Linked DNA regions of Drosophila melanogaster. The protein of the gene in region 4 interacts with the protein of the main gene of each other region in a pairwise test. Each region holds a gene or a part of one and is shown on either strand. Other genes may lie near its edges.

What was found.
Region 1: the proteins of yl (region 4) and Mst98Ca interact in a two-hybrid assay, tested with the Drosophila melanogaster proteins (one large-scale study listed by BioGRID).
Region 2: the proteins of yl (region 4) and Zmynd10 interact in a two-hybrid assay, tested with the Drosophila melanogaster proteins (one large-scale study listed by BioGRID).
Region 3: the proteins of yl (region 4) and Mst98Cb interact in a two-hybrid assay, tested with the Drosophila melanogaster proteins (one large-scale study listed by BioGRID).

Annotation. Positions count from the first base shown.
Region 1 is NT_033777.3:28,288,852-28,293,156, forward strand, and holds Mst98Ca (Male-specific RNA 98Ca), read left to right. Parts: upstream 1-2,486; 5' UTR 2,487-2,607; coding exon 2,608-3,612; 3' UTR 3,613-3,805; downstream 3,806-4,305. Other genes in the region: Mst98Cb (Male-specific RNA 98Cb), read left to right, coding at 4,064-4,305.
Region 2 is NT_037436.4:13,023,977-13,028,936, forward strand, and holds Zmynd10 (zinc finger MYND-type containing 10), read right to left. Parts: upstream 2,462-4,960; 5' UTR 2,384-2,461; coding exon 1,713-2,383; intron 1,654-1,712; coding exon 1,464-1,653; intron 1,402-1,463; coding exon 962-1,401; intron 905-961; coding exon 850-904; 3' UTR 787-849; downstream 1-786. Other genes in the region: RpS12 (ribosomal protein S12), read left to right, coding at 394-661. UniProt on the Drosophila melanogaster protein: Plays a role in axonemal structure organization and motility. May be involved in axonemal pre-assembly of inner and outer dynein arms (IDA and ODA, respectively) for proper axoneme building for cilia motility.
Region 3 is NT_033777.3:28,290,977-28,295,255, reverse strand, and holds Mst98Cb (Male-specific RNA 98Cb), read right to left. Parts: upstream 2,459-4,279; 5' UTR 2,342-2,458; coding exon 1,544-2,341; 3' UTR 1,393-1,543; downstream 1-1,392. Other genes in the region: UQCR-14L (Ubiquinol-cytochrome c reductase 14 kDa subunit-like), read right to left, coding at 787-1,122; Mst98Ca (Male-specific RNA 98Ca), read right to left, coding at 2,793-3,797.
Region 4 is NC_004354.4:14,190,861-14,199,635, reverse strand, and holds the start of yl (yolkless), read right to left. Parts: upstream 6,423-8,775; 5' UTR 6,258-6,422; coding exon 5,885-6,257; intron 5,624-5,884; coding exon 5,210-5,623; intron 5,139-5,209; coding exon 2,589-5,138; intron 2,527-2,588; coding exon 92-2,526; coding exon of another isoform or gene 50-91; exon of another isoform or gene 15-49; coding exon 1-14. Other genes in the region: CG13403 (uncharacterized protein), read left to right, coding at 7,650-7,757, 7,912-8,280. UniProt on the Drosophila melanogaster protein: Cell surface receptor involved in uptake of vitellogenins (yolk proteins) into developing oocytes by receptor-mediated endocytosis. May also mediate uptake of apolpp/apolipophorins and their incorporation into yolk granules.

The DNA.
Region 1 (4,305 bases), on a different chromosome or scaffold from region 4:
AAGTTAAGCAAACATCAAAGTAGAAATAATCGTGAAAAAAATATTTTACCTGCAGCTATGAATTTTAATATACTGTTCATGTTTTTTATTTGTCCCAAAGAATACCTACTCATACCTACTTTTATTACACTTTTAAAAGTCGTACATTTAACATCAATTTTGAGAGTATAAATATATATTACCAATTATTCAAGTTAAAAAAAATGCTACTTCTTATTTCTCAGTGTATTTGAATGGCATTGCGTTTTATTTGTCATTTCCGGTTTGTGCCGGAAGTTAAAATTATTGAAATCAAACGGAAATGCATCGAAGCAAATGCGTAAAAAAGCGGGAGCCGAAAAATATGATTAACCCATTTAAAATTATGGCAAATATTTGAATTGATTCTCAGACCTTATTAAAAGTGTTATGTCATTAAATTTCTCATTTAACTTGTATGTATATTTATGTATATAAATGGAGTTAAGATTTCGAACCGCTAATAATTTAAAATACAATAATATTATTCACGTCTGCGCTTCAGTAGGTTAAGTCCCGACTCCGATAGAACAACGATCCATCAGCGTATATGTCTGTGAATATATATATGCTGTGCGCAGCCCATAAATAAATATATAAATTTAAATAAAGGCCGCCGCAATACCCGCACACTCACAGTTTGTTTGTCAATAAATCAGAATACTTATCAACGTCAAAGTACCGCAAAGAATGTGAGCAAACAATAAGAACTAAATGTGTGTGTGTTTCAGGAGGTCCATCAGTTTATTGGGAACTATTAAAGTTATTTATGAAAATAAATGGAATACCTACAACTTAAAAATAAAACCTTTCATTGAGCTACAAACATTTCTACACAGTGCCTAAATTATTCGACAAATGCGCCTCTATCTTGACTCCAGCAGGCATTGTGGGTGCCAATTTATGGGCAATCTGTGCTTATTTTCCCATTTCCCAGCCCAACATTGTTTTGGGCCTAGTCCCGAACTAAGTCCGCTAATTGCGCCGCCTTAGCCGGGCCATCTCGACCGGGTTTCGGGGAAGGCCCCGTCCATAATTATGCGAAATGTGCGCCATTTCTTCGGACTGTTGCCTGTTATTGTTTGCATTATTAGCTGACAATTTCGGTGGCACTGTGATGCCAAGTGGTGGGTCTGTGATTAGGCCGGCTCTTTGGGCTCTGGAAATTGTGGGATTAGCAGGCGCTTTGTCTGTGGCTAGAATCTTGGTCGGGCACCATCAGCCTGTCGCTCGATAAGCGCTCCAGGGCAACTCGAGTCCAAGAAGTTGATGTTTTTCTTGCATGATTACGACCATAAGCCAACGGCGTGTTATTGCAGGCCAAAGAAGTGGACGGTTTTCTTGGGAAACGCCCGAGTTCAAATCGATTGAACCAATGTTGCTCTTTAAATTGGTTTAATTTAGACATTTATTGTATCTCAACTTCCTGGAAGCAACTTGATTAAATTTCCTAATTTAAATAACCGGAACTATTGGACAGCAACTAATTCTGAAGAGCAAAGGCCATCTAAAATATCGCTTGATTTCTTAGCTATCACTAATGTGACTATCAATTCGAGGAAATGAAATTTTGTAGAATTAATAAAAGTCGTGTGTTATTAAGAAAATATTAAAACGTATTATATTTATTGTTTGAATACCAGAACGTTTCTTATTCCGAGCACATATTGTAGCGTTTGCCCCTCGCTTTTGGCATTTAAAATGGAGCAAATATTTTAGAATTCACCTGAATCGCATGCAAAAGCCTTTGTCAACATCAATGGTCCGCTGTGACCACGCTCTTTGTTGTAGTTTTTTGTGAATGCGCAATTGTTCAGTGTCGTCATGGCTGTGGCATGCACAAAGCGCCGATTGCAACGCCCATCCATCCACCCAGCAACCCCCCCCCCCCCCCACCTACTAAAGCTTTCAGGATATGCCATCCAACTACCAACTACCATACCGACCAAAACGCTTTTTTTTCGGCGCTGACATGTCCAGGCACTGGGGCAAAAACAAACCCATATATGTATATTCAATAGGCCGGGCGCTGCCAGAGTGTTTTCCGACGTTTTTCTGTAATTCGTTGTAGGTTTTTTCCAAGTTGGCTTTCGGCCGGTCCGAAAAAAGCGGCCTGCCTACATAAAGGCGCTAGCATATTAAAGGCTTAAACCCACTCAACGGCAGATGCCATATTGTTGAAATATATGCAGATACGTCGCGCATACGTCATGTGAAGATGGAATCCGGTTTGCAAAATGCATTCCATTCAAGCAGCGTTCTGTGATTTTTCATTGCAATCGGTTAAGCAATCGAATCCACCAGATTTATGTATTGTAAGCATATATTTCCATTCAAAGCTCAAAGCGATTTTCACCTTACCTGCACAACAAAAACACTACACTAGGGTGTGATCGTAGAGCTCGGTTTTTCAAATTTCGATCGAAGTGGGCCTGGATTATTGTGCAATGCTGTCGTCCTACTGTTATATCTCATTCAGTTTCCTGTTTCGCTCCGAATAACTTCCAAATTGAACAGTAAAAATTTGTAACAAAAATAAAGTATAATATTTTTCTAGAAATTTTATTTTGGAAAACTTAAGTCGAAAACATGTGCTCTCCGTGCGGTCCTTGTAGTCCATGCGATCCCTGCTGCGGTCCCTTCGAGTGCTCACCCAAGTGCTATAATGCCGCCCAATTGGAGGCCTTGCCACAATGTGCTCCACGTATTCCACCTCCCTTCCCCAAATGCATCACCGTGCAGCAACCACCACGCATGATCTGCAAGAAACGCGTGGTGTTCACGGAGAAGATTGTGCCGGAGCCAATGGTGGTTAACCGATGCAGACAGATTACCATTCCAAAGGTCGTTGATGCCACGCGGGTGATCAAGGTGCCCAAGCTGATTTGGGTGTCGCAGATGGTGCGAGAACCCAGAGTAATCTACTACCCCTCGATGATCCCCGATCCCTATGTGGTGTGCTATCCCAAGCGCGTCTGCGAACCCCGGGAGGTGTGTCAGTCGATCCTGTGCCAGCCGAAGCCACAGACCATCGACATTCCGCCGCCAAGGGAGTACTGCTGCTATCCAAATGGACCCATCAACTACAAGCCCAGTGCAGCGTGCCCACCCTGCCCCATTGGACCATGTGCTCCTGGAGGACCCTGCTGTCCGCTGCCCTGCTTCTCCACAAACCAGTATCCCGTTGCCGAGGGTAGGTGCGGACCCTGTGGACCTTGCGGTCCAGGATGCGGACCCTGCGGTCCGCGATGTGGTCCCTGCGGACCCGGCCCGTGCGGACCCTGTGGGCCGAGATGCGGTCCGGGTGGACCGTGCGCCGTGCCCAATTGCGGGCCCTGCGGCCTCACAATGCCGTCGGGTCCGTTTGTCCCGGCTCCGTGTGGACCCTGTGCTCCATGCGGGCCATGTGGACCGCTCGGCAATAGTCCTTGCGGTCCTTGCGGACCCTGCGGACCCTGTTCGCCCCCGTGTCCGTACGAGTCACCCGAGTGCGGCCCCTGCTACCCGTGCGCCCCAACTCCCTGGAATACCCACTGCGGCCCAGTTGGTCCTTGCGGTCCTCAAGTGCCTTGTGGACCCAGCGGCCCCTGTTAACATCATCGTTGTGCTGCCTGGATTGTTGTCAGAAACCGGTGCCCAGTGGACCAACTTGTCTATCACCAATACAGATTGCCATAGTGTATTCTCGCCGTTCTGCTCAAACACCACCAAAAAAGTCTACAGTTCTCTATACTTTGTCAACGCATGGACGACTCATTGGCTGTAAATAAAAATCGGATTTATGCATATATAAGGTTTTTTCAATTTCTTTTGACAGGTTATGCAATGGTTTCTATCCAGATAAAATTTTCTACCAAATTTTTGTCAAATAGTAGGCCTTGCCTCTGCTTGTCAATCTACCTATGTTCGTTACTCAGGCTTAGCTCGCATTTTGAATCCGGTTTCGCTTCGATACACTTCTAAATTTCTCTGATCAAATTTTATAAGAAACAAAAAACAAAAATTAACTTTTTACTCTTTCGGTTTATTCTAGTCGAAACTTAAAATGTGCTCTCCGTGCGGTCCTTGTAGTCCATGCGATCCCTGCTGCGGTCCCTTCGAGTGCTCACCCAAGTGCTACAATGCCGCCCAATTGGAGGCCTTGCCACAATGTGCTCCACGTATTCCACCACCCTTCCCCAAATGCATCACCGTGCAGCAACCACCACGCATGATCTGCAAGAAACGCGTTGTGTTCACGGAGAAGATTGTGCCGGAGCCAATGGTGGTTAACCGATGCAGGCAGAT
Region 2 (4,960 bases), on a different chromosome or scaffold from region 4:
TAGTTGAAAGCAATCTATATGATTGATAGAAATATATATTTCAGTTCAAATCATTTGAAATACATAGACCACGTTTTAAAAAGTGTGGGTCTTCATTCAACTTAACCTATTTTCAGGAAATGAATCTTATTTCCTCCTTGAATTTTTTAATCGTTTATTAATCGTAATGATATTTATAATAATCCACTAAGTGCATTAAAGATAAATCCCAAGTGTGTTTCCACATTAAATCATCTTGATTTTGCTGTTCTGACTGTGATGAAATTAATTGGTCCGTGTTTATGAATTTATATTGATTAAAAACCTTCCAATTACTGAGCAAATGACAGCGTATCGAGTTGCATTGTATGAAAAAAAACCATTCCTAATTACAATATATTGTTTTACCAACAGGCGTCAGGCTGTTCTGTGCATCCTAGCCGAGTCCTTCGACGAGCCCAACTACAAGAAGCTGGTTACCGCCCTGTGCAACGAGCACCAGATCCCCCTTATCCGCGTGGACTCGCACAAGAAGCTGGGCGAATGGTCCGGTCTGTGCAAGATCGACAAGGAGGGCAAGCCCCGCAAGGTGTGCGGCTGCTCCGTGGTCGTGATCAAGGATTTCGGTGAGGAGACACCCGCTTTGGACGTGGTTAAGGACCATCTCAGGCAGAACAGCTAAACAGCTGCGCACTGCCTGCTGAATGAGAGACTACGTGAAAGTTCTTTTTAAGCTATTCGCTAATTGAAAATAAAACGTATTGAACCTGAATCCAGATGAAAAAATAAAAGAAAGTCGACCTTTTTACATTTTTGGAATGTTCTATTATATTGAAAAAATTATTTTGTATACTAGACGCTGGGTCACAATTAAGTTTTAAGGCAGACGAGCTTGTGCTGTGGCCAATCCTTGAGCTGACAATCACTGAAAGAAAAAATATTATAGAAGAAGCGAACTCCGCAAAAGTTGCGTCCAACCCACCGGGAGCAGTAGTGCACCTTCTTGCAGCAGGCACACTTCTTTTTGGCCTTCGCCTGGCAAGTGGCGCAAGTATGGTCCGTATCTCCATCGCCACCAGCGCCGGCATCCTTTGCTTCGCCCATCTTGAGATCATCCATATTCTGCTCCAGTTCACAGAGCAAGTCCGTGCCGTAGGCTTTGCTGAGGCGAGTGGCCAAAGCGCAGATGTTTTCCTTGTTCTTGCTAAGGAAAACCGAGTCCTGATCCTGGGCAATCTGATAGAAGCCGCCATTTTCCTCGACATCCTTGAGCAGTTCCTCCTGGATCTGCGGAATGTCCTCCAGCAAGAGCGGCTGTGTCTTGGCCGTATTGCCGCTGAGCGTCAGGCGGCTGAGGAACACCTTTAGCTCTATAAGTGGCGGCAGCTGGTCCAGCAACGGCTCGTGCATGAGACCCAAAAGCTAAGGAAGTCAGCTTGGTAAGTCAGCGCATTAATCATAGATATATGTAGGTGGCAACTAACCTTGTGTAACTGCTTGCAGCGTGCCTCGTTGAAAGCATAGTTCTCCATGATCTGAGGATTAAGGAGCAGCTGACGCACACAAAACCAGGCCTGCGCCTCTGGCTTGACAATCTTGGTGACGTCGTCCACATTGGTCCACTTCTCGTCGATGAACTTCTGAATGCCCTTGCTGGTCTTTCTCTGCCACGGACTAAAACGAGGAGAAATGTGTAAAATATAAAAAAAAACTCACTTATCCGTGCTGCTCACCGGAAGCTAAGCACATCTGCCATGAGCCACGGAATGTCATGGGTCACCAGCAAACGGCGTGCGGCGCTTAGATGAAACAATGTCACATTATCTGCTATGTAGTTCAGCACTGAGATGCAGCGCAGTCCAATCTTATAGATAAAGTCGCGCTTCTGGCGCTCCAGCTCCGTGAGCACTGCCTCATCCACGTCCAGCTTTGTCTCGTTCTCGTGGTAACCCATGCTAACCAAGCCAATGACCTGGGAAATGGCCTGGGCGCAATAGTCAATCAAATCCAGCACGGACTCCTGCAGCGTCTCACAGCCACTCGGATGGTAGAGGCACACATCCAGAAGCGCTACCAAAGCAGCCTCGTGATATAGCACCGTGTAGATAAGGAACGTGGCCTGCGGATTGGGATCAATCTCCAGCAGATGCGGCAGAACACGCGTCTTCCACAACGTTACGCAATAGGCTTCGTGGATCAGCACGCGTAGCTTGTCGCGCGAGATGAGGAACTCCTTCACCTCCTCCTCGCGATTCTGGGACAGCTCCAAGGCGGCCTGCTGGCTCAGCCCGAGGATCATCTCGTGCACCTCCAGCCACTTCGGGCTGCCCACCTCACGCACCTCAAATGGACGAATGCTCTCCACAAAGAGATACATTTCCTCGGGGTGCACAAAGTTTACCATTTTGTTTTTATACTGATTTTAATATTTTTTCGGATATTTCAAAACACGTTTTATCCGGCTTGTTTTGCTAAGACTGACGACTAACGAAAGACTGGGGACTGAGTTAAATTATTATTTTAGGTTGTCATGGCAGTCACAGGTTGCTAGGATTCTCTTAATAAATAAAACATATCTAAGATATGTAGTTTTAACGTTAAATTTGAATGCCAATCTTCTGGTATACCAATTATCAGAGCAAACTGAACATGCTTAAAAGGTCTTTAAAAAAGTGAAAATTTGGCATATTTGTATGCCTTTTCTAAAATGGTGTTAAAAGAAAATAAGCTAGAAAATAAAACTGAGAACTAATAGGTGTTATAGGATGATGTTAAACTATTAAAATGTAATGTAAATGTAAGTATCCTCCATATGTTACTTATACTATTGACATTATATCATAGTTAAGATAGTTTGGTGAAATAGAAAATGAATGAGCTGCAGAATTTGAAAGCTACCTATGCTAATATGGGCAGTCTAGCAGTCTAAAGTCTAGACGTAAAGAGTTAGTAACCTTTTTGGAAAACATGCCTGGTTTTTGGCAGCAGTCAGTCCGCAGGCATTTCGTTTTCATTTATTTTGGCAGCTACATATTACGGCAGGCCACTTGATTGTTGGCCACCGATAAAGGCGTTTGGAGCGTCGGCCGTGGACAATTGGAACTCGTTCAGTCACTTTCGCTGAAAAGTTGCGTTGACACTGCGCATGCGTAGCGTGTGATGCGAGGATGGAGATGTGCGGATGGGGCAGGTGGGGGGATCATGGGGGTCTCATGTTTCGTGGGGGACAAACAATATTTCTTTCGTTTTCTTTGTGGCAGTGCGTTTGTTTCAATTGTTAGTAGTAATTTAATTTTATTTATATACGTAGCGACGGTCGAACGCTTTTTCTGCACGACGCGACGACAATTGACTTCAAATGTCGTTTGGCCGATGGGGAAAAAGTTACGACCACTATGAAAGTTTCTGTGGCCTTTCGGCGTTTTCTTCATTTTTCGATAATAACCGAAACGAATTGAAACGAATATAGCTTGATAACTTTCCCAAAAGAAAATGAAAAGCGCCTTTTAATTGCCAGACGAAGTGAAAGAAATGGAGCGATGGGCATTTACAGAATGCGCGATTGCGCAATGCCATTAATCGATAACCAATTAACCGATAAGTCGGTTTGCAATGCTTTCAGATTCGTATGAAGATGGAAACCCCTTCCCGCGAGTATTGTCATATCCATTTAATATTAAGTTTTTCACATTATTATTAACAATTAGACTCTAAAAATCTGAAATATTAAGTGATTTAAAAATGTATAAGCTTTATAATTTGTTTTGACCCTCTTAGATCTTTCTGTCACAAATGTCCATGGACTCCCTGTAAAATAAAGATTAGGTTCTATAAGTCACAGAAGTTTGTTCAATTAAATCATTTAACAATAAAACAGTTCCTCCTCCTCTCTCATCTCAATATTTAAACAAGATTATGTATGAGTTGGCTTTGGTTGCAAACAAAATGGCAGATGGCATCCGATTTGATCACAATGAAGTGTATGTGGAGTGATCAGTGAACATCATGCCATCTTTATGATCTGATATTTTAACTTCAAACAGATACAGATTTGAAACAGATTTTGACGGAAAAAATTTATTGGAAACATGATAAGAGGCATTGGACTAATATTGTTTCCGATCCTTGTAGTTACGTCAATTATTTTCTGCTGTGTCTGCTGCATTTGCCTCATCTTCTGCGGGTGCTGCTCGGCACTAATGCGATCCCTTCATCTGGATCCACCTTTACCGCGGGCTCGTCCTCAGCCCCGACAAATAATGGCAGTTGGATCACCCATGACTCAGCAGGCAGTGATAGCCATAGAAGGAGAAGTTTAGAGCCTAGAGGATGTGATCCCAAATGCTGTTCATGCCAAAATTCCATGTGTATAGTGCCTTGAAACCATTTTTCTTTTTAAAGTCAAACATTAAAGTCTAAGATGGCAGCCTCCTTAGTCTTCTTTTATATTAATACTACTTAGCTACATTAATAATTTAAATCATATATCCTAATAATTTAAATCATAAGATCCACTTGATAATGAGATCGTAATATATCCTAACAAACCTTAAATCTGTTTAGAGTCTGATCTTACTATATTCTCGAATTTTAAAAAGTATATGAGACATTGAATGGCTAGTTTGATTTATTGAGCTGTGGCATCAGAATGTTTTTAACAATAATCCTGACATTCCTGGTCGGAATTGTGCTGTTCGTGTGCCTGTGCTATACCCTGATGTTCCTGGCTTGTTTCTGCCTCGATTGTTTCTTGCGGAGCATACACATGCATCCAGATCGGCACCCACAGTGCCAGCGAACAACCCAATCCTCTGCAGCAATAGAAGCAACAGCGGCAGCAGCAGCAGCAGCAAAAGCAACATCTGCTGCAGCGGCAACAGCAGCAGCAGCAGCAACAGCAACACTTTGCACGACAGCAACAGGTTACGAGTGCGATGTAGCCGAAGATCCCATTGGCAGCAGCGAGACACCAAGTGCTTAA
Region 3 (4,279 bases), on a different chromosome or scaffold from region 4:
CAGCGTTACATACCTTCAGCCCTTAACATTACAGGGTAACCATTACGTTTGCTGCATCCTCCTGCGTTGACGTTATCAGAACTCTGGCAGTTACTGGCCGCAGACGCAGCGATATCGCTCCATGGCAGGAGCATTGCCTATCGCAGTGGCCAACATCGAAATCGAAACTATGGCAGATCAATTCGAATAACAATAATTTCTTCCGGTCGAATGGCAGCGCCAGAACAATCAGACAGCGGCAGAGATGCAGATATATACGACTGCGAAAGTATCTGCATCTGCAACGGCAATCGCAACTGCAACTGCATTGTTGCTGTTTGCTGCATTTTAAACAGGATGCGCATAAGTATACGAGGATTGACAGGATGTGCGGGCCATGCACACGCATTTTGTTTGCCGCTGACGCTGCCACGCCCACTCCTCCACTGTCATTTTAAATCGTGGGGCGGCATACACATGTTCAATGGGCGGCTCACGCCCCACCCAGCAGCACTAATTTGTATTGTATTCGCTGTTAATGAATTTCATATATTGTATTTATGCGAATGCACTTAATGCGAAAATTATTTGCGTTGACATTGCTGTGGATCGCAGGGGATTTTTAAACGGCTGACGATATTGAGAGACGCGCTTAAAAAAAGCTGGCGATAAAGTGATATTAGATGTTATGATATTAAAACCAGATAATTAAAGTTGTTTTTTTTTCTATGCCTATTTATATTAACGATTTATTTAAATAACCTTTATGTTTTGGTTATGACATTCTTTGTAACCGAAGTATCCGGATCAATGAGTTTTGCTCCATTCCTCACGCTCTTCGCGCTCCTTTTGCACTTCGTTAAGATAGGGCTCCAAGTACTTGATGTCCTCCTCGTACTTGGTCCACTGCTCCTTGGGCAGGATCGTCTTGGTCATGGAAAGGTGCAGTGCTCGAAGAATGCGATAGTTGCGTTCATCGTACAGTTTGCGGGGCAGACGACGCACTGCTTCTGCCACATCCTCATTCTCGTACAGACAGTCATCGCGATACAGGCCGTATTGGTTGAATCCAGACATGTTGTAGGCCCACTTTCCCAACTTGGAGAAAACCGCTGGGCCCACTCTAGCCACATATTTCGACATGATTTAAGATCAAGAATAATTTGGATATGACTACTACAACTATTACCAGTAAGTCCACAAGCTGACAGGTGACTCAGGGCTACACTGGTGAACTAACAAGTATGAGTTTTTAAAATAATAATAAAATAAAATAAAAATTCCCCAACAGGCCTTTCGAAACAAAAATCCCGAATCTCAACTTTCGTTATCTGAAAAATACATAGCATATTAAATGCAATGAAACAACGAAATTTCCGAAACAAATGCCCGAAGAAAAAATGTGGTTTAAATATTGTATCAATGCACTTCTTTAATTTACAAAACTTGCAAAGTTAATTTGGACTGTCATATAATTGAGCGCGGATGTGGACTTCCATAACGCGGAGTTGTCACAAAATGTTTTTGGCAGACGTCAAGTAGATCTTTCCAGCTGTTTTACAGATCAGCATGGTCCGCAAGGACCGAAGCCACAAGGGCCAGGTCCGCAGGGTCCACACGGTCCGCATGGACCACAGCCTGGTCCGAAGGGTCCGCAGGGTCCACAGGGTCCGCAAGGACCGCATCCTGGTCCCCAAGGTCCGCAGGGTCCGCAAGGTCCGCATCCGGGTCCACAGGGTCCACATGGTCCGCATCTGCCCTCAGCCACTGGGTATTGGTTTGTGGAGAAGCAGGGCAGCGGACAGCAGGGTCCTCCAGGAGCACATGGTCCAATGGGGCAGGGTGGGCACGCTGCACTGGGCTTGTAGTTGATGGGTCCATTTGGATAGCAGCAGTACTCCCTCGGCGGCGGAATGTCGATGGTTTGGGGCTTCGGCTGGCAGAGGATCGACTGACACACCTCACGTGGTTCGCAGACGCGCTTGGGATAGCACACCACATAGGGGTCGGGGATCATCGAGGGGTAGTAGATTACTCTGGGTTCTCGCACCATCTGCGACACCCAAATCAGCTTGGGCACCTTGATCACCCGCGTGGCATCAACGACCTTTGGAATGGTGATCTGCCTGCATCGGTTAACCACCATTGGCTCCGGCACAATCTTCTCCGTGAACACAACGCGTTTCTTGCAGATCATGCGTGGTGGTTGCTGCACGGTGATGCATTTGGGGAAGGGTGGTGGAATACGTGGAGCACATTGTGGCAAGGCCTCCAATTGGGCGGCATTGTAGCACTTGGGTGAGCACTCGAAGGGACCGCAGCAGGGATCGCATGGACTACAAGGACCGCACGGAGAGCACATTTTAAGTTTCGACTAGAATAAACCGAAAGAGTAAAAAGTTAATTTTTGTTTTTTGTTTCTTATAAAATTTGATCAGAGAAATTTAGAAGTGTATCGAAGCGAAACCGGATTCAAAATGCGAGCTAAGCCTGAGTAACGAACATAGGTAGATTGACAAGCAGAGGCAAGGCCTACTATTTGACAAAAATTTGGTAGAAAATTTTATCTGGATAGAAACCATTGCATAACCTGTCAAAAGAAATTGAAAAAACCTTATATATGCATAAATCCGATTTTTATTTACAGCCAATGAGTCGTCCATGCGTTGACAAAGTATAGAGAACTGTAGACTTTTTTGGTGGTGTTTGAGCAGAACGGCGAGAATACACTATGGCAATCTGTATTGGTGATAGACAAGTTGGTCCACTGGGCACCGGTTTCTGACAACAATCCAGGCAGCACAACGATGATGTTAACAGGGGCCGCTGGGTCCACAAGGCACTTGAGGACCGCAAGGACCAACTGGGCCGCAGTGGGTATTCCAGGGAGTTGGGGCGCACGGGTAGCAGGGGCCGCACTCGGGTGACTCGTACGGACACGGGGGCGAACAGGGTCCGCAGGGTCCGCAAGGACCGCAAGGACTATTGCCGAGCGGTCCACATGGCCCGCATGGAGCACAGGGTCCACACGGAGCCGGGACAAACGGACCCGACGGCATTGTGAGGCCGCAGGGCCCGCAATTGGGCACGGCGCACGGTCCACCCGGACCGCATCTCGGCCCACAGGGTCCGCACGGGCCGGGTCCGCAGGGACCACATCGCGGACCGCAGGGTCCGCATCCTGGACCGCAAGGTCCACAGGGTCCGCACCTACCCTCGGCAACGGGATACTGGTTTGTGGAGAAGCAGGGCAGCGGACAGCAGGGTCCTCCAGGAGCACATGGTCCAATGGGGCAGGGTGGGCACGCTGCACTGGGCTTGTAGTTGATGGGTCCATTTGGATAGCAGCAGTACTCCCTTGGCGGCGGAATGTCGATGGTCTGTGGCTTCGGCTGGCACAGGATCGACTGACACACCTCCCGGGGTTCGCAGACGCGCTTGGGATAGCACACCACATAGGGATCGGGGATCATCGAGGGGTAGTAGATTACTCTGGGTTCTCGCACCATCTGCGACACCCAAATCAGCTTGGGCACCTTGATCACCCGCGTGGCATCAACGACCTTTGGAATGGTAATCTGTCTGCATCGGTTAACCACCATTGGCTCCGGCACAATCTTCTCCGTGAACACCACGCGTTTCTTGCAGATCATGCGTGGTGGTTGCTGCACGGTGATGCATTTGGGGAAGGGAGGTGGAATACGTGGAGCACATTGTGGCAAGGCCTCCAATTGGGCGGCATTATAGCACTTGGGTGAGCACTCGAAGGGACCGCAGCAGGGATCGCATGGACTACAAGGACCGCACGGAGAGCACATGTTTTCGACTTAAGTTTTCCAAAATAAAATTTCTAGAAAAATATTATACTTTATTTTTGTTACAAATTTTTACTGTTCAATTTGGAAGTTATTCGGAGCGAAACAGGAAACTGAATGAGATATAACAGTAGGACGACAGCATTGCACAATAATCCAGGCCCACTTCGATCGAAATTTGAAAAACCGAGCTCTACGATCACACCCTAGTGTAGTGTTTTTGTTGTGCAGGTAAGGTGAAAATCGCTTTGAGCTTTGAATGGAAATATATGCTTACAATACATAAATCTGGTGGATTCGATTGCTTAACCGATTGCAATGAAAAATCACAGAACGCTGCTTGAATGGAATGCATTTTGCAAACCGGATTCCATCTTCACATGACGTATGCGCGACGTATCTGCATATATTTCAACAATATGGCATCTGCCGTTGAGTGGGTTTAAGCCTTTAATATGCTAGCGCCTTTATGTAGGCAGGCCGCT
Region 4 (8,775 bases):
TGTAGTTTGCTTTCCTGTTGAGCAGACGATAGTAGTAAGGGGGCAATCGTCACATATCTTCCACGGCCATCTGACCCCCATCGCTACTCACTCTGCTGGGGCTCTCGAGAAGCAATTCCTGAGCCATCGGATCGCCGGACGCCGACTGTCGTGGACGGAGCAGTCGCTGGAGCGCATTCGGCACACTAAACTGCTGAGCCGCGAACGAGGACGTGGCGCTGGTGGTGGTGAATGTGTCGTTGCTGCCGCGGCTGGACACCGTTCCCGTTTCCGTGGTGAAGCCGACTCCCGCCTCGGCGCGTTCGTGCTCCAGGAACGCTTTGGTGCCGCCGAGCGTCGCCAGCGGATTCTGGAAATGCATGTTAATGTTGAGATCCGTGTGGCCGCGCTGCCGGTACTGATAGTACATGTACCCGAGTCCGGCGATCAGTGATCCGGCGGCTAGGACGAACAGTGCCATCAGCCAGTGAAAGTGACCGTTCTGCTCGTGTTCATGTTCCAATTCCAGGCTGTTGACCGCACCCAACACGGCCACCTCATTGCCAGAGCCATGGGGACACCGTTCGCCTTCGGCCACCAGACGATTGCCACACATGCATTCGTAACCGTAGTCCGCCTGCAGGCACAGTCCATGGCAGTGGGCATGGGCGCATGGATGCGACGCCTTCTGCGGCTGACGCGACCTGCCCGCCACCACAATGTCCTGGGCGTTCAGCACGTTAATGCTGATCTTGTGACAGATGCGGGATCCGTACAGTGCGCACTGCACCGCCTCCACGGAGCCCAGGTTCACGATGAACGCATTATTTTCGTACACACTCAGCCCAGATGGATGCATCAGAGCGTTGGACTTTTGCAGCATTATCTCCGGTCGACGCATGGGACCCGTTTTAAGCCTATAGCTAATCCTCTCCAGCGTGCGCATATGCTGGTCCACAAAGTACAATAGCTGCTGATGCGGATCGGTGGTCAGGGCGGTCATGAAGCTTTCGCTTCGCTGCAGCAGCATATCCCTGCGACTGCCGTCCAGTCGAGCCATGTGAATCTCCGAGCTCGTCTGGCCATAGCCCTCGGTGCGTATGACTATGTAGAAGATCCGGGCGTGATAGCCATCCACAGCCAAATGCTTAACGTGCCTGGGACTCTTCACGTGCACAATGCGGCCGCACATGCGTCCCACGAAACTGCACGCTTGGATCTCCTGCGCTCCACTGAGCACATAAACATTTCCGGTGACCCAATCCACGGAGAGTTTCGTCGGTGCGGGCAGACCCAGAGCCCGCACAATCACCTTCGTTTGCAGATCGATCTGATAGACGATGCCCTCGTCCTCGGCGGAAAAGTAACCCATTTGCCGGTGCATGGCCAGATCGAAACCGGTGATCCTCGAATCATTCGCCGACCAGGCCACATTGAGCATAACGGGCTGTTCGCTTAGGTTTCGCACTTCGTTGAAGCTGCTGAAGAGCAGAGTGGCGCCAGACTGCAGGCTCTTGCAGCTAACGCGATCCTGGCGCAGCATAAAGTCCGCATGGCACTGGCACTGATAGCCGCCGAGGGTATTCTCGCATAGCTGAGCGCATGGCTGCTGCTCCTGGCACTCGTCAATGTCTAAACAGCTCTTCTGATCCGCGTCCAGGCGATAGCCATCGAAGCAGGAGCACACGGCGCCGGCTGGTGTGGCGCGGCACTTGTGCTGGCACACCTGGCGACCCGATGCCGAACGGCAGGCGGTGGCGCACTTGGGTCCCTCGTCGTGGCCGTTGGTACAGTCCGGGAAATTGTTGCATACCCGCGACAAGTCCACGCACTCGCCGTCTTGACAATCGAAGAGATGTGGCCGACAGGATCGGCTCGAGGTGCTCCACGGCTGAATTTGGCTCTGATTGTGATGGCCCTTTTCCAGTTCGCAGCTCAACTCGTCACTGCCGTCGCCGCAGTCCTTCTGGCCATCGCAGCGGAACTCCCGCCGGATGCACTCTCGACCGGAGCGGCACTTGAACTCATATATGCTGCACACATCACCGCAATCGGCCTCATCCTCGCCGCGCGGACACTCGGTGGTGCCATTGCAGCGAACCGTAGACGGCAGACAGATCTTGAGATTGCTCGTGCATTGGTATTGATCTTCCGCGCAGGATATGTTCATCGTGGATGAGTCCGTGCCGCAATTCAGTTCGTCGGACTTATCGCCACAGTCGTTGTGGCCATCGCACACCAGACTCCGGTCCAGACACTGACCCAACAGACAGCGCTGCATGTCCGGCGGACAGCTGCGATGGACACACTTGTCGTGCTCGTCGGATCCGTCGCTACAATCGATCCGCCCGTCGCACTCCCAGCTGCCCGCTATGCAGGATCCGCTGCCGCACTGGAACATTCCCGGTTCGCATCGCGATGTCGCCTCGCACAGCAATTCGTCGGAATTATCGCCGCAATCATTGGTTCCATCGCACACCAGGCTCGAGTCCACGCACTTTCCATTGTCGCACCCGTGCTGATGGACATGGCACTTCTTGCTCTTGTCTGTGGAGTAGAGAGAGTATTCAAATTCAAATTATCCACCAAGTGCAGCTCGTTTCGCTTACCGAACTTCTCGCAGTGCTGCTCATCCGAATGGTCGTGGCAATCCTTGCGATTGTCGCATCGCCGCTCCTTGTCGACGCACTGCTCCCCGCTGTGGCAGGCGAATTGGTTGGGCGAGCACAGAACCTTTGGCTTGCGCCGATGCTCCTCGTCGCAGTTCATCTCATCCGAATTGTCCACGCAATCGCGTCGTCCGTTGCAACGGTGATTCATTGTGAGGCACTCGCCACTGTGGCAACGGAACTCACAGTCCAGAGCCTCCACGCAGGTGCGGTTACCCGCATCCCGGTAAACGAATCCGGCCGGACATAGACAGATCGAGTGGTAGGGTCCCTCGCCCACACAGATGTGCGAACAGCCGCCATTCTGCTGCTGGCAGGGATGCGATTCCTGGCCGACGGGTGAGCTGGCGGCCAGCGGAATTCCATTGGGCGTGGCCACAGGCACGTACGGCATAATGGCGGCCGGATCGTCCTTCTCCATTATATCGATCACCTTTCGCGGCCCCATATTGCTCTTGTGCGTCCAGTAAATCCTTGGCGTACCCAATTCATTCCAAAACAGATCGTGATGCACCATGGCCAGGCTATAGGGACGCCTAAGCTTGCCCCGAAAGATTTGGCTGTGCGGCACCCTGTAATTCGAGTAGCTAATCCTGCCCAGATCGCTGTCTGACCAAAAGATCGTTTGGGTCTCGTAATCGGTGACCAGCTTGATATCATCATCGCCCAGATCGTCCTCGAATACATGCACCTGTTCGCCCTTGCCGCTCAGCGGTATCTTGTCAATGTGGCTGTGCCGCTTGGCCTTGAGCACAACATACAGATAGCCCTCCGCGGGCATAACAGTGAGTCCAATTGGCACCTCCTGGCCCGGAAAGAAGCGGATCAGCGCACGATGGCGCGTCTGCAGTGAGAGCACCTCAATCACAGCCCGCTCCGTATCCGCCCAGTATAGATTCCTGCTCAAATGATCGAAGGCCAGGGCACTCACATTGCCCAAATTGGAGCGGACCAGGACGTTGCTCTCGTGCGACTCTGGCTGAAACTCCAGGATCAGTCGCTGGTCATTGTCCGCTATTATCAGGCTGCCATTGATGCGATTGTACACCATTTCGTTGATCAAGCAGGGCAGCGTGTATGACTTGCTCACCTGATGGCGCCCAAAGGCGGTGTGCTCGATCTCGAGCAGCACCTGACCGAGGCCAATGAACAATCGTTGGCGCTTCTCCATTAGCATGCAGCGCCGATGATCCGGCGCCAGCCGCATGCCATCCGGACAGGCGCAGCTGTGACCACCGATTTCGGGTTCGGCCAGCAGGCATAGGTGCGAGCATGTGGCATTTTCGCAACCATGCGGCGAGTTGGGCTGCTTGGCCGGATGATAGATGTGTACGGCGTAAATGGTACGATCCTTGGCCAGGATGCGATGATCCTTGCCGGAGAATTTGTGACACGCATGCACACTCTTCGTTGCCCAATCTGACCAGTACAGCTGATCCTCGAATATGGCCAGGCCATAGGGATGCTTCAGCATGCCGTCCAGCACCGTGCGCCGACCAGTGCCGTCGGGTCGAACCGTTTGCACGCTGCCCAACTTGGCATCCACCCAGTAGATCCTTTGCTGGTGCATGTCCAGCGCAATACCATTGGGCCATTCGATATTATCGCTGACAATCGGTCGCGACCGACTGCCGTCCATGGATGCGCGCCCTATCATGGGCTTCTCACCCCAATCCGTCCAGAACATCAAGCCCTTCTGGGGCCAAACAGCCAGTGATCGCGGCTGGTGAACATCCTGGGTGACCAGAACGGCACAGTTTAGTCCATCGTTCGAGCACACGGCTATGTGCCGCATTATGTTGTCCGAGAAGTAAATGTTCTGCGTCAGCCAATCGACAGCCAGGTCCTCTGGTGCATCCAGGCCGGAGGTCAGCAAAATTTCCGCATTCGAACCGTCTCCGTTAGCCTTCACAATGCTCTCCGCTTCGTTCTGGATGTTGGTCCAATAGATGTGGCTGCCATCGTAGGCCACGCCAATGACCTTGCTCAGATTCCCGGCCACCTGGTAGACATGATTTCGTACGTTATCCTCGCGCAGATGCATTCCCATAATCGTCATCTGGGTGGTGTACAGCAGAAGGGGCTGCTGTTCCTTAGAGCCGTAAACGACTGCGCGACACGTACGATTATCCTTGTCCAGCAGATAGCCCGCATCACAGACGCATCGATATCCGCCCGATGTGTTCTCGCATCCCTGGCTGCACAAATCATCTTGCTCCTTGCACTCGTCAACGTCCTCGCACTTGTCCTCGAATTTAGCCAGCCGGAATCCCTTTGGGCAGAAGCACTCGGCTCCGCTGGCAGGCATCATGTGGCATTTGGCTCCCAGCGCACACTTCTTCGCATCGCAGTCCGGCTTGGAGTGACAGAGGTCGGTCTCATCGCTGCCGTCGGAACAGTCGCTGTGCCCATCGCACACTTCGCTCAGGGTCAGACAGGTTTCTCGGTTCCGGCATAGGAATTTCCCCTTTTGTGGCTCACATAGATTTACTGAAATGATGCCGAGTCGCATGTTTCAAGAGCATCAGGCTTGGAGTATCCAACAAAGAATTTTAACTTACAGCATCCTCGTTCGTCGCTTCCATCGCCGCAATCGTCAACGCCATCGCAGACCCACTGCTTCCGGCGCAAGCACCGTCCGTTGGCGCACAGGTGACCCTCGCCGGGGCAGGTGATCTCCGCCTGCTTGCAGCCAGCCACCTCGTCCGACTTGTCCGTGCAATCCGGCCGGCCGTCGCACATGAAATCAATGGGAATGCAGGTGCGATCCTGCTGGCACATGAACTCGTACTTGCTGCAGCTGCGCATGCGATGAGCGGTGTCACCGAATCGGAATCCTGGCCGCACCGGGCAGTTGAGCTCATCCTCGCCGCCGGGACAGTTGTCGATGCCGTTGCACATTAGTTCCGCTGCCAGGCAGGCTCCGTGTGGCTGGGCACACGGGAACCAATGTGGCGGTCGGCACAGTCGGTAGTCTGGATATCCGGATTGGAATGAAGATTATATGTTATTCAACTACATATAAGATTGTCACAACACGTTTATATATTATTGGATATATTAGTCTCACTAGTAAATTCATTGGAATATGGGGATGTGGCATCTCTAGATAGGATTCCCTAACCATCAAAATTATAGCTAAAGAAATCTGGTTAATCCGACTCCATAGTAGCTATGCCCTCTCCATTTAAAGCCACCCCCTGCTGAACGACGGCATTGATTCCACCCATGCTCACCGCAGTCCAATTCATCCGAGCTGTCCTTGCAGTCTCCGCGTCCGTCGCACATCTTCGCCTGTAAGATGCAGCCGCCGTCTCTGCACTGGAATTGTCCCGCATCGCACCGCGTGTCCGCTGATCCCGGCGTGCCGGCAGCAGTACCACCGCAAAGTCCCACGAGCAGGAGCAGCGAGATTGCCACGTGGCGTCCATTGATGATCAGATGTGTTCGCTGGCAATTTCCGTATCGACTGGACGTTGAGCCACCACTGGATGGGTGAGCGCGTGTCTGCGAGGTTAGGTTGAATCCTCGCCGGCTGGCGGTCATCTTCGGGCTCTCTACCCGGATCCTTTGCTCGCTGGGGTGCACCTGGTGCTCGGCCTGGCACATTTAACACGAAACACACACAATTTGAACGATGATTAACACGCAGGACTGGTTAATTGAAATTAAAACGGGAATGGGAAACAGAAAGTATGGCTTGCAGCTTGGAAAGCTGAAAGCGAATTGAACGAGGAAAACCGTTCGGTTCCAACGGAACACGTCGATCAGGGCAGGGCTTTGGAAAAGCACCGTTATTTCGGAGTGACCAGATGCCAGATGGTTGTACACCGATATAAACCGTTTGGTAATAGTTTAATTGGTATTTAAAACTACATATTTTAAGGCGCCAAATTTGAAAACAGTTTCATCATAAAAGCTCACAGCAATTTATTCCAGTGCATGCCAAATACCGTACCTGGGTGGCAACGCCGTTCGACATCAATTTAAAAACTTGACCATCAAATATCGCAAAAGGATTGCACCAAATACAGCGTGATTAATTGCCCGTTCATGATGTCAGCGGTGTCTGGAAATTTACAAAAAAAAAAACCAAATTATTGCAGTGGGAAACGACGGGATCCGAAACAGAAACCGACACAGAAACATTTACCCATTTGGATGACCCATTGCAACAATTAATAACGGTTATGCCCGCAAGATTTATGAGCAACGACAGATAAACAAGACCGAAGCGTTTTGGCCGCCTCAACCGCCAAATGTCATAAAAAATCAGAGACAAAACCCGAATTGCTGAATTGCTTAGAAACCAGAAGAGCACTCAGAAATTTGTATAATTAAGGAAAAGAGCGAGTGCGAGTTCGAATTCACACGCGGTAGGGGGCGTGCCGCGCTCGTAAAAACAAAACTAACGCGAAGCCAAACCCAAATCTGGGAATACACTGGAAGAAATTAGCAGGTGCAGCTTATATTACATTTAATTTTCTTTACTAAGAATTCGAACATACATATATTTCTGAACAATTATGGAACTAGGGCAACTTACCCATATTACTTTAATGCAGTCGAAATTAAATATTTACAACTTCAATCAAATTTTACTTATTGTATTGTATCATTGTCTTGGTATATTTATTCCAATAAGAAAAAATACTGGCTTAGCACTAGATTTTCTCCGTGTGCATGGACTCCATAAGGCGAACGTGGTTTTTCCACGTCGAGACAATTTGTTGCTTCTATGCCGGATGAGTCGTGGGACATCGAACGAGCCGCGATGACAAGCGAACATGACGAACTTCTCGGAGCATCTGGGACTTCTATGGAGTCTATGGAGACCACTCTGCCGTCCGGTTGCCTGCCACCGCCTGGCCCGTTGAGTAATGGGCCCCGTCCGCCGTCGACATGTCCGTCGCGCCAAGGCGTTAAAATCATCAGTTGTAAAGTATCTGGGGTGCACATCGCGATTTGCGCTTGCCAGCGTATAAAAACTACACTCGGTCGATGGATCAGCAACAGTTGATCGCCAGCGTCCATCCGGTGCATACACAGCTACAGGAATTCCAATCCTCTCAAGCAACACACCGAGCTTACCCAAAAGTTCCCGCAATGGTAAGGGCTCAAGACGAGCGTGATTGAATGCTCCTCCTTGCAAGCAATTTTTTAAATTTTAACATATATTTAGAACAAAGCCTCTTTAAAGCACAACGTTGCATACTTTAAGTGACTCCCAGTGCTTTTTAATCCCACGATTCCTTGTCCGCAGAACTCCGTAACCGTACTCGCCATCTTCGCCGCCTCCTTGGCCTTCTGTGCCGGCGATGTGTCGCATTTGTCGCGCAGCTATCTGCCTCCTTTGAGCGGCGGCTACTCCGGCTACTCCTCCGGTTACTCCTCGTATCCATCGTACTCGAGCGGATCTGGTTATTACTCGGGTGGCGGCAGCTACGCCTCGCCAATCATCTCGTCCAGCTACAAGAACTACGCGGTGCCGCAGTACACAACCTATGCCACGCCATCGCGCACCTATTTGCCCGCGAATGCGGGCTACACCGGCTACTCCGGCTACTCGGGCTACTCCGGCTACAATGGATTGGACACCAAGTACGGCAGCAATGGTGGCTACGTCTACTAGGCGCTAATCAAGTTTTCGGGAGGCCAGCAACAATGGAGCCAGCAGACAAACTATATATTCCTCTAATCTTTTTTTTTTTTCTTGGCTAAGCAATTTTCTTTAATGGCTACTAAATATTTTCGAATACTTAATAACGAATAACGAATTTCATGGCGTATTTATTTGGAGAGGGAGTTGCTTATTTTCCAAACCACTCATTGAAGATCTTAATTTTTTGACATTTTTGGGGCGAAGCGAGTGGTTCTATAAATACAGGATACAGATCCTGAAGAAACTTTTTCGAAAATTTTGGTATTCTTACCTGAGTATTAAAAAAAATGTATTCAAAAGTGATTGAAAAGAATTGCTAATATCAAGTAACTGATAGTCGAGACTCTCGACTTCATCATTCCTGCTTGATTTTAGTTATGAAAATCTGTCAGATACTTGTAATACCCATTAGTGTTAAAGTATGCTAAGGTATGCTAGACTCGTTGATAAGTATGCAACTGAGCA